Saccharomyces cerevisiae S288C: one gene and its partners. The gene in region 1 interacts genetically with each later gene. Each region holds a gene or a part of one and is shown on either strand. Other genes may lie near its edges. The genes, in order: ORC6, CDC14 and CDC6.

Region 1 (3,557 bases):
TGTATTTTATTCTACAAGATTATAAAAATGCCAAGGAAGATTTCCAAAAGGCCCAAAGCTTGAACCCTGAAAATGTTTATCCCTACATTCAATTAGCCTGTTTGTTGTACAAGCAAGGTAAATTTACCGAATCTGAAGCTTTTTTCAATGAAACAAAGTTGAAGTTTCCTACCTTACCTGAGGTGCCCACCTTTTTCGCTGAAATCTTGACAGATAGGGGCGATTTTGATACTGCAATTAAACAATATGATATTGCTAAAAGGTTGGAAGAAGTGCAAGAAAAAATACATGTGGGTATAGGACCCTTGATTGGGAAAGCAACTATATTAGCTAGACAATCCTCTCAAGATCCAACCCAGTTGGATGAAGAGAAATTCAACGCAGCCATTAAGCTGCTGACAAAAGCCTGTGAATTAGATCCACGATCTGAACAAGCGAAGATCGGGTTAGCACAACTAAAATTACAAATGGAAAAAATTGACGAGGCCATAGAATTGTTTGAAGATTCTGCAATTTTAGCAAGAACTATGGATGAAAAACTTCAAGCTACTACCTTCGCGGAAGCTGCAAAGATACAAAAGCGTTTGAGGGCTGATCCAATCATAAGTGCAAAGATGGAGCTAACATTAGCTCGTTATAGGGCTAAAGGCATGCTTTAGAAGATATGTCAGGTATTGGTCAAATATATACTTTTAGTTAATACTGGATATGTTATAAAGGTTCTGTTAATGCCAAATCCATTTCAATTCTTTTCTTCCAAATATTGTACTGGTCGTCTGTGACCAAAATATTGGTGGTTTGTAACATCGATCCCAGTTTCCTAAATATAATTTCATCGTATCTGATGCCATCAAAATCATCATACCTAATTTGCAAATCTCTGAACCATTTTTCACCGATAATTAATTCCTTCACTAATTTTACACATTCAATAACATCATCCACTTTTGACGTCAACATCAAGCTGCACATCTTACTGACTATAAAATGGTCAATTCTTGGATCCTTGCGTCTTCTTTCATTAAATACAATGAATGTACAATTTAATACTAACCCACACACTAATTGCCATGGGCAAACCAATCTTGACGCGTTTATGTTGTACTCATCCACAATTTTATATGCTACTTCTCTTGGTAATTCAAAATCGTTGCAAAGCCGTATTATTTCTTCAGTAGTCATTTTGCAATACTTCTTTACTAACAAAGAATTTGGTATTCTGCCCCTTTTCCTCAGGGCTTTTGCCGTCTTCAATTCTGATTGCGGTTTTCCAACTGCCTTATTTTGTTTCGTTCTCCCGCTTCTGCTTTCTTGCACACCTAATGGCTCTTCCTCACTTGTAGGGTCACTTTCATGGTTTTCATACTCATCAGAATCTACATTTCTGGTTCCAGTAATGCTCTTATTACTATGGCTTTTTAAAGACAAACCGTCGTTTCCTGGTTCCTCTTCATCCTCATCCTCATCCTCTTCAAATGCTAACTTTCTCCTAGTAATAGACGGCGATTCATTGGTTTGCATGGGGGGTAGTTCTGGTATTACGAACGAATCATTATTTTGGCTTTTCCTAACTTTAGTTGGTGTACCAAACAGTTGATTCCTCAACTCTTTCGGATCAGAAGAAGTAAACCTCCCACCGTTCTTTACTGGACTGCGTTTGTTCTTTTTGGGGCTCGGTGTCCAAGCAAATTGTTTCATAGGTGAAGAATTAGATAAACTTTGTCTGAAAAGGTTCATTAAATGCTTGGCTTTTTTCGGCTCCAAGGGAATACTGTCTATATAATAGCAAAGGTCAGGCATGTGTTTTTCATTCATTTTCTGTGACGCTATGTATGCACATATGTGACATCTAGCAACCTCTTCATCTTGTTTCAGCATTACCTTGTTCAGTGAAGTATTATATAAAATCGATGTCGCATTAGTCAACTTCTTCAAATATCCGCTCGACCAGTCCGGTTTTTCTTGTGGATCTAGTCGAAGTACTTCTGCGACACAATGTTGGACTTGTTGCATGGACATGACTGGTTTTAATGGTATTGTTTTGGCCAATTTTATTTACTGATATTGTACACTTTTTTCTGCAATTTTAGTGTGAGATTTTTTTTTTCAATGCCGATTTCTTACTAACGTAAACAACGGCAAAGAACAAAGAAATACACAGTTTTATCACAAAGAGTTGATTTTTGCTGAAGAGAAGCGTGAGGAGTGTATTCGAAAGCCTTGCATATTCTGGACACTTGCGATTCTAGCTCTTTACGGACGCCCGCATTCTTTTTTCATACTCTGTTTCGTGCTGCTTTCACACAATATTTTTCAAAAGTTTCTTCTCATCGTTTTTCTGTTAGCAACCCTCAACTTACGAGAGAGTTGCGACTAGCATAGGTAACATTCCTTATTTGTTGAATCTTTATAAGAGGTCTCTGCGTTTAGAGAATGTCAAATTACTATAGAAGAGCACACGCGTCTTCTGGTTCATACAGACAACCCCAGGAACAGCCTCAATATTCGCGTTCTGGTCACTATCAGTATTCAAACGGCCATTCTCACCAACAATATTCTAGTCAATATAATCAACGTCGACGTTATAACCATAATGATGGTACAAGGCGACGCTATAATGACGATCGCCCACATAGTTCAAACAATGCAAGTACGCGACAGTACTATGCTACTAACAACAGCCAAAGCGGCCCATATGTAAATAAGAAATCTGACATCAGTAGTCGGAGGGGCATGTCTCAATCACGGTATTCAAATAGCAATGTTCACAATACATTAGCGTCTTCGAGTGGATCTCTTCCCACAGAATCTGCTCTGCTTTTGCAACAAAGACCACCTTCAGTTTTGAGATACAACACAGATAATTTGAAGTCTAAGTTTCATTATTTTGATCCCATAAAAGGCGAGTTCTTCAATAAGGATAAGATGCTTTCGTGGAAGGCTACAGATAAAGAATTTTCTGAAACAGGTTATTACGTAGTCAAAGAGTTACAAGATGGACAGTTTAAGTTCAAAATAAAACACAGACATCCGGAGATAAAAGCATCCGACCCACGTAATGAAAACGGTATCATGACTAGCGGAAAAGTGGCAACCCACAGAAAATGCAGGAACTCACTAATTCTATTGCCTCGCATATCTTATGACAGGTACTCCTTAGGGCCTCCCCCTTCATGTGAAATAGTTGTCTATCCAGCGCAAGATTCAACAACAACCAATATCCAAGACATATCAATAAAAAACTATTTTAAAAAGTATGGAGAAATTTCTCATTTTGAAGCATTTAATGATCCTAATAGCGCTTTACCTTTGCATGTTTATCTTATAAAGTATGCCAGTTCTGATGGAAAAATTAATGATGCAGCAAAAGCAGCCTTTAGTGCCGTTAGAAAGCACGAATCTTCGGGTTGCTTTATCATGGGCTTCAAGTTCGAAGTGATTTTAAACAAGCATTCCATTTTGAATAATATCATTTCTAAATTTGTTGAAATAAATGTCAAAAAGCTACAGAAGTTACAAGAGAACCTGAAGAAGGCTAAAGAGAAAGAAGCAGAAAA
Region 2 (3,600 bases), on another chromosome or scaffold:
ATACATATGACTCTTTCGAAAAGACAGCGAGAAGGGACACTGGAAAAATGGCATAAAACTTTTCAAGGTTATTATTAGTAAGTTTTTTTATTATATGATATATATATATATAAAAATGAAATAAATTATTTCTTGATGGAGCCACTTATTTTTCTTATACCACCGGCGGCGCTTGTAGTCCTTCTCCCTGACGTTACTCTCCTATTCTTGGGCAATAGTTGTCTTAGTATGGTATCATCTGCGGCATTATTGATGTTCGTTGCGCTGGGTTCGTTATCTTCCATTCGGGACGATGAAGCAGAGGAGATATCATTTTTCTTGCGCGAAACTTTGGGATAATGATTACTTGTGCCGTTGGTATCCTGCATGGATTCGTCATCTGAGTTGTTGCTTTCTATTACTACCTTCCTATTCGCATGGGAAGTTGGATTACGATTATTGTTGATATCTTCTATAGTATTAGAACCGTTTTGGCCCTTTCTCGGCTGACCAGGCGAAGTCTGTGGGACGGCTGAGCTCTTGAATGAATTACTTCCATTATTCGCCGTAGAAGGTTGGCTCGAATTTCTGGCACTAAGCGCCCCATGACCGTTGGATGGCGGCGTCATGGTTAAATCTCTTAATTCACCTTCAATGTTATTTTGCGCAACCCTCTTGTCGTCTTTAAGTTTCTTTTTTTGTAAGCGGTATTCTTCTAAACTTATTAAGGGATATAAGCCGCCAATGGCCTCACTAGGCTTCAAAGAAATTCTGGTTGTGTACTTCCATTCTCTAAAATCATTCTGGTGTAAATATAACCAATGCTGTTGAGGGCCAACGACCATTCCCGGCCTTATAAACCTTAAGAAGCCAATACACTCGTTAGCGGTAAATCCATACGTGTATATTAAGTGAGCACCAATTAAACAACCAGTTCTACCTAGCCCAGCCTTACAGTGCACAGCAATTTTACCTCCCCTTTTAATTATCGTTTCAGCAGCACCAACAAAGTTTTTTACAATGGAAAGATCAGGACATGTACCATCTTCGAAAATTAGATCCAAATGTTGAATGCCAATGTCTTCAAAATGCTTTTTATTATATAAATGAGAATTCAACCTTACCACTAATTGGACGTTATTGTTGGCGAAAAAATTCAGAACTGACTTAAACGGCTGGTTCAAATGTGAAGATTTGGTAGCGAGATAGCCCTTTGGATGGTCCTCTTGTGGTGACGCAAATGCAATAAAATCTGGGGTGAGTACATTGAAGTCTCCAAACTCCACGTGTTCGTATTTCTCGTAACTCTCCAAATTGAAGGAATGCAAATCAATAAGGCCTTTTTCCTTAGCCCTCCAAACGCCATAAACCACATCTTGAATTGTGATTTCGAAATCCGCATTAGAATAACCGGCATCTCTAAATGGCATGAAGGGAGGGTCTACTTGCGCCAACGGCTGAAGCACTTGATGCGGAGTCCATGCCTGAACGAGGATCATATAACAGCAAAGCATACATGCGGCGTTAGCACGTTGTCTGGTCGATGCAGATGAATAGAAAACAACGGCTTTATTGGCATTTTCTGGGTCATTCAAGATTTCATGGAAAATAACGGCAAAACGATATAGATGTCCAATGTTCATGGGACCGAAATCCAAATGGAAACTGTTGTAAAAGATTGCGTCCTCCACGGTAAAAAACACCAGCTCATCAGTATCTTCCGGCGTGTAATCATATGCACCGAGATATACTCTGCCTCGCAGGAACTCGATCGTGTTGTCGAGGTATACACTCCTACGCATTTTTTTTTTTTTTTTATAAGCGTACTTTGTAGTCCCAGCCTCTGTGCAATTGTTTCGTATTATACCTCGAACGAATCGGAAATATTTGGTACATTATTGTTTCAATTTCAATTTGTTTACCTTTGAACCAAGTGAAGAAAAACTTATGGTGCTAAAAGTACATTCCCCGTTGAAAGTGATACAGCTTTCTTGATTGACACAATAGCAATGGCCTTCAAATGCATATCTCTACTATCGGCTAAAAAACGAATGACTCACGTTATCAGGCTCATAGCTTGTGTGTGTGTGTGTGTGTGTGTGTGTGTGTGTGTGTGTGTGTGTGTGTGTGTGTGTGTGTGATTGTTGTTCTAGTCGCTTGCTTTATAAAGTAACGACACTTTCTGGTGCCAATATGTGAAAACGCATTACAGAAAAAAACAGTTGTATTCTACTAAAAACACATCAGTAGTCACAGAAGTCACAGAAGTCACGTATATAAGCTAGTGGCAATCATAACTAACACAGGTGTATTAATGAAAAAATAAAGCCAAAAAAATTTCAGAAAAAAATATCTCCCGGGGGCGAGTCGAACGCCCGATCTCAAGATTTCGTAGTGGTAAATTACAGTCTTGCGCCTTAAACCAACTTGGCTACCGAGAGTCGTTTTTGTTGATTACTTTGCTATATAAAGATTCCTTTATCATTATTTCATGAGGCGCACTTTTGATTTTCACACCTTTTTCAAGCGGAGGAGTTATTCGTCTTATTAACATTACCATTACAGTAGTCATCAATGATTACCTTATCAGCACTGAAAAGATACCCGTAAAATTTAGCACACGCACACTCACACATACATAGGTACGAAATACACAACTGATAGGCGTTCATGCACTCTCATAGACAAAAGTGGGGCCGCCAGACGGATATAGCGAGGGTGCTCGACGATATAGAACACGACCTCTATCTACCGCAACGGCTATCACTCGATGGTGCAACTGGTACTGACGAATCACATGTGCAATACGGTATAGTCAAAGACTGCTCTGTGCTTACGTGTGGCTGCTGTATATCTGAATCGCTATTCAATGATTTATGCAGGGAAACTTCGAACAAGCAAACTGCGTGTCCCATCTGTCAGCGAGAAAATGTTCGACTACTTTCAGCCATCAAGCCGCTGCGAGATTTGGCTCGTCAGATTGACTTCTTCAGAAGTACTACCGGACAGGGCGAAAGCGAAAGCGATGAGCTCCCCGCTATAGTAAAGACTTCACCATCATCATCATCACTATCGCTAACGCCATCGCGCTCTTCCTCCACTGCTGGGCTAGAAGCTGATAACAAGACACTATCAGACCCTACAGTTAAGGAGAAATCATCACTGCTCGAACTCTTCCATATTGTGGCTTCGAAGATGCATAATGCGAATACAGAGGTAGGGTCGGACCACCCACTCACGACTGGCACCACCCGTGATCAAGAAGAACACACCACTAAGGAGAATTACTCAAGCAGCTTACTCGAGCCCAACTATGACGACCACGCGAACTGGAAAATCCTGGATAATGCCTCGAACACAAGAACTGTGCCGATAGATAACAACTTCTCTTTGATGTCTACGGACGTTACAATACCTTCCACAGCAAACTACCAAACAAATAGTGCACATGATCTGGACGAAGAAAAGGAGTACTTTTTTGCCAACTGTTTCCCCATGTACAGAAAAAAATTTCAGTTCAACACACACCCCAAATTCCTAGGGACGAAATCCAAATTATTCATCAACCAAAGCATTTCTCCCGATTGCACCAAATTTGCTCTAATTACTGAACACAAGTGG
Region 3 (3,837 bases), on another chromosome or scaffold:
TTCACCTTTCCGACAGGCGCCATTGTTATCACATTAGCAGAGTGAATTGGTTGCGATTTGAAAGAGAAAATGTATCAAAAACAAACAATTGTACCCCACCTCCCCCTAACAATCATCCATTCTGCATCCAGTAGCTAATGATAGTAAAATATTTGTACAAATTACGTTTTATTGTGTCTTTTTTGCAATTTCTTTGAATGCAATGTTGCGTATATCATTGCATCTCAGCCAAACGGTTTAACCGTTTCCAGAAAAAAAAAGTCTATAATATGCTATGCTGTTACAACTATAATAGAATTTTTATATAGTGATATGCTTTTCTATAAAAAAAGGAATGTGAAAAATGAGGGATGCAAGTGGAACTGTAAAAAAAAAAGAAAAAATAAATCTATTAGCTGACTAGTGAAGGAAAGGTTTCAAAATTGAAATTTTGGTCATCTCATCATAAAATTCTCGCATGTCGAGATCAACATCAATCTTATCAACAAATCTCTTGGTTTTCCCTTTACACTTTGTCTTTTTGATTGAAACCAGCCCACAAGTTTCTAAAATTGTACAGATTTCCAAAAATTCATTTCTCTGCAATGGTGCTAAAGTATCAGTTTTTGTTATCGCTTTGATATAATGATCAAACGATTCGTCGATTGTAGCATCGGAATTTAGCTTCAGTGATTGAATTATGGTGCAAAGAATTAATTTTTGCTGGATGTTTAGTTTGGCTATCCTCGTTCTCGTAGAATTATTGTTCACGAATTTTGAGAAGACCTTGGCTATGTAGTTCAAGCCTATTTTACCTTGTGGTTCTGGATACGATTTCTTTACCGGAGAAGTAGTTGGCGTCAAAGGAACTTGCGCAGAGTTCAATGATCCTCTTGTTGGTGAAAGCAGAAACCGCTTTTCTAACTCATAGATTTCGATACTTCCCCTTAAGACATCAAAAAGTTTTCGAAGGTCACCCGTATTTCCAGCACACTTCTTTGCTGCGAATTTGATGGCCATCGGTTGGAAGATAATAGTGGGCAGACTACTCATTTTTTGAATGACGATTTCATACATTTGCTCAGCAGTGTATGGCTGAAAAACTATAGTTTGCGGTAACAACCCTCTGTCCAAATTTAACCTGGAAAGAAACCTATCTTTCATATCTAGACTATTAGCCATACCGATTAACACAAAACTCACAGTAGGCAATTTCGCCAAAAGGAATAATTCAAGAATAGTTCTAACTGATTGTGTCTCGCTCGTGTTAGCATGCAATAGCCTGTCCATCTCGTCCAACACAACCACAAACGTAGTTTTCTTATGATAAGGCTCTAAGAACTTCTGTAGATGCTGCATGTTTTTTATTTGCAATGTTGGGCCATTCAGATCTTGGAAGGAATCGAAAATCTTCTGGAAAATGGAGGACGGCTCTCCCAACGATATACAATTAATACTGGTTACCGCCACGGATTCTAGCCTTCCATCGGGCAATTCAAACCAGGACAAATTCTGCAAGTTCGGATTCGTATGTCTCAGCACGTCCTTCGAGCGTGGCGTGGAGAGCGACAATGGGAGGGACTGGAACTTCTGTCTTATAATCATATCAAGCTGGGCAGTCTTGCCAGTGCCAGGCGGACCCGTGATGTACAGTGAATCGGACCTGTGTTCAGAAATTGCCTTCGCCAAAAAATTCATAACTTGTTCGTACTCTGCTGTTCTTGCTGGCAATGCACCATCGCTGCTATTCAAGTTGACTAGCTCAGATGACTTCTGCAAAAGTGCCTTTGTCCTCAAAAAAATAGACTGTGAGCCAAACTGCAGTTTTTCTGGGGATGATTCTGGTGTAACATCTGTGAACTGCAACTTTTTTCTTTTCAAAGGTCGTGGAGGCGTTGCTGGAGCATCGTCAAATAGATTTCTTCTGATACGCTTAGTTGGAGTTATTGGTATAGCTGACATGAACGTATATGGTACTATTGATGAAAATAGTGCAGCGCAGTGTTCTGAATATTCCAAAATTGTTCTTCCAGAGAATATACCTCTACTATATAAATGAAAAAATAGACTAACTAATACTATTTTTCAAGATGGCGTTATATCTTTTCTGCCAGCCAACTCAATTTCCTAAGTGGGTAATTTCCTGATCTGGAAACTCCGACGCGTGAGGCCTCGCGTCGCTTTCTTCTTTGGGTAATTCAGGGAAAACAAAGGAATGCAGACTAGCAACTAGTTTCAAAACACAACAAATCGCAAGCCAGACATATTTTGTTGAAACTACAGATATTTCTGCTGCTTTTATTACCTTGCACTTACGTGACGTGACGAAATATTAGTTCTAAACTCAGGGTCTTGGCTTACCCGCGTCGGCTTTACGGATTAGTAAACCGAAGGACATAAGGGAAAGAAAGGAAGCCAGAAAAAGAGGTAGAAGTATATAAGACTAACTGATATGAATATTAAGGTAGGATACCTTATCAATTTTAAGGAACTTGAGAGCTAAATTTGCAAGCAAGTATGGTAAGTGATTGGAAAAATTTTTGCCTCGAGAAAGCCTCTAGGTTTCGCCCAACAATAGATAGGCCTTTTTTTAATATTTATTTGTGGGACTATTTCAATCGTGCGGTTGGGTGGGCCACTGCAGGTCGCTTCCAGCCAAAGGATTTTGAGTTTACCGTTGGGAAGCAGCCTTTGAGTGAACCTCGTCCGGTACTGCTTTTTATTGCCATGTATTATGTGGTTATATTTGGCGGGAGGTCCCTGGTAAAGTCATGTAAACCTCTCAAGTTGAGATTTATTTCTCAAGTCCATAACTTGATGTTGACTTCTGTTTCCTTTTTATGGTTGATTTTGATGGTGGAACAGATGCTACCCATAGTGTATCGCCATGGGCTGTATTTTGCTGTTTGTAATGTTGAATCGTGGACGCAACCGATGGAGACATTATATTATCTCAACTATATGACAAAGTTTGTGGAGTTCGCAGACACTGTCTTGATGGTGTTGAAACATAGAAAGTTGACTTTCCTACATACATACCATCATGGTGCTACAGCTTTACTGTGCTATAATCAATTGGTTGGTTACACAGCAGTTACATGGGTTCCTGTCACCTTAAACTTAGCTGTTCACGTTCTTATGTATTGGTATTATTTCCTTTCTGCTAGCGGAATTCGTGTTTGGTGGAAAGCCTGGGTTACAAGACTACAAATTGTGCAGTTCATGCTTGATCTCATTGTCGTTTATTACGTGCTTTATCAGAAGATTGTTGCTGCATATTTCAAAAATGCTTGTACTCCACAGTGTGAGGATTGCTTAGGTTCAATGACGGCTATTGCTGCTGGTGCAGCCATTCTTACATCCTACTTGTTTTTGTTCATCTCTTTCTATATTGAGGTTTACAAACGTGGAAGTGCTAGTGGTAAGAAGAAGATCAACAAAAACAATTAACCAGTCCTTCTGTTTTGTTTTTTTCTGTTTTTCTTCCTATCTTGTATTTGACTTATATATAGACTGTTTTATTCGAAATAATCATTTTGCTTCGTTTATGTAATTTTTGTATTCATAAGCCAGTATTTTCTCTTCTTTTTTATTTTTTTTTTGGAATGTCGCGCCCAGGACAAAAACATATAATTTATTAGCCTAGGCAGTAAATAGTAGGCGAAAAAGATTGAAAAGTATTATACATGTGGAAATTTATTAATTTTATCTATCATATAAACTCATGTCATTATTCTGGCGATTCTAGTGTCACACCATTTTTTAAATTCAAATCAGCGACTTCGTTTTCTGGGCATCCCTCAGATATTTCAGACGTACTCGATGAACCCAAGCCTGAATTATTCTTGTAGACTTTTT

The links.
Region 2: of ORC6 (region 1) and CDC14, extra expression of one is lethal in a mutant of the other (dosage lethality), as found in Saccharomyces cerevisiae (3 studies listed by BioGRID, with this or other methods).
Region 3: mutations in ORC6 (region 1) and CDC6 impair growth when combined (synthetic growth defect), as found in Saccharomyces cerevisiae (5 studies listed by BioGRID, with this or other methods).

What each region holds. Positions count from the first base shown.
Region 1 is NC_001140.6:343,610-347,166, forward strand, and holds ORC6 (origin recognition complex subunit 6), read right to left. Parts: upstream 2,020-3,557; coding exon 712-2,019; downstream 1-711. Other genes in the region: protein channel TOM71, read left to right, coding at 1-659; histone methyltransferase SET1, read left to right, coding at 2,434-3,557.
Region 2 is NC_001138.5:208,288-211,887, forward strand, and holds CDC14 (phosphoprotein phosphatase CDC14), read right to left. Parts: upstream 1,782-3,600; coding exon 126-1,781; downstream 1-125. Other genes in the region: ECO1 (Eco1p), read left to right, coding at 1-10; PTR3 (Ptr3p), read left to right, coding at 2,650-3,600. UniProt on the Saccharomyces cerevisiae protein: Protein phosphatase which antagonizes mitotic cyclin-dependent kinase CDC28, the inactivation of which is essential for exit from mitosis. To access its substrates, is released from nucleolar sequestration during mitosis.
Region 3 is NC_001142.9:67,442-71,278, reverse strand, and holds CDC6 (AAA family ATPase CDC6), read right to left. Parts: upstream 1,942-3,837; coding exon 400-1,941; downstream 1-399. Other genes in the region: fatty acid elongase ELO1, read left to right, coding at 2,497-3,429; putative ubiquitin-specific protease UBP12, read right to left, coding at 3,710-3,837. UniProt on the Saccharomyces cerevisiae protein: Plays a crucial role in forming the pre-replicative complexes.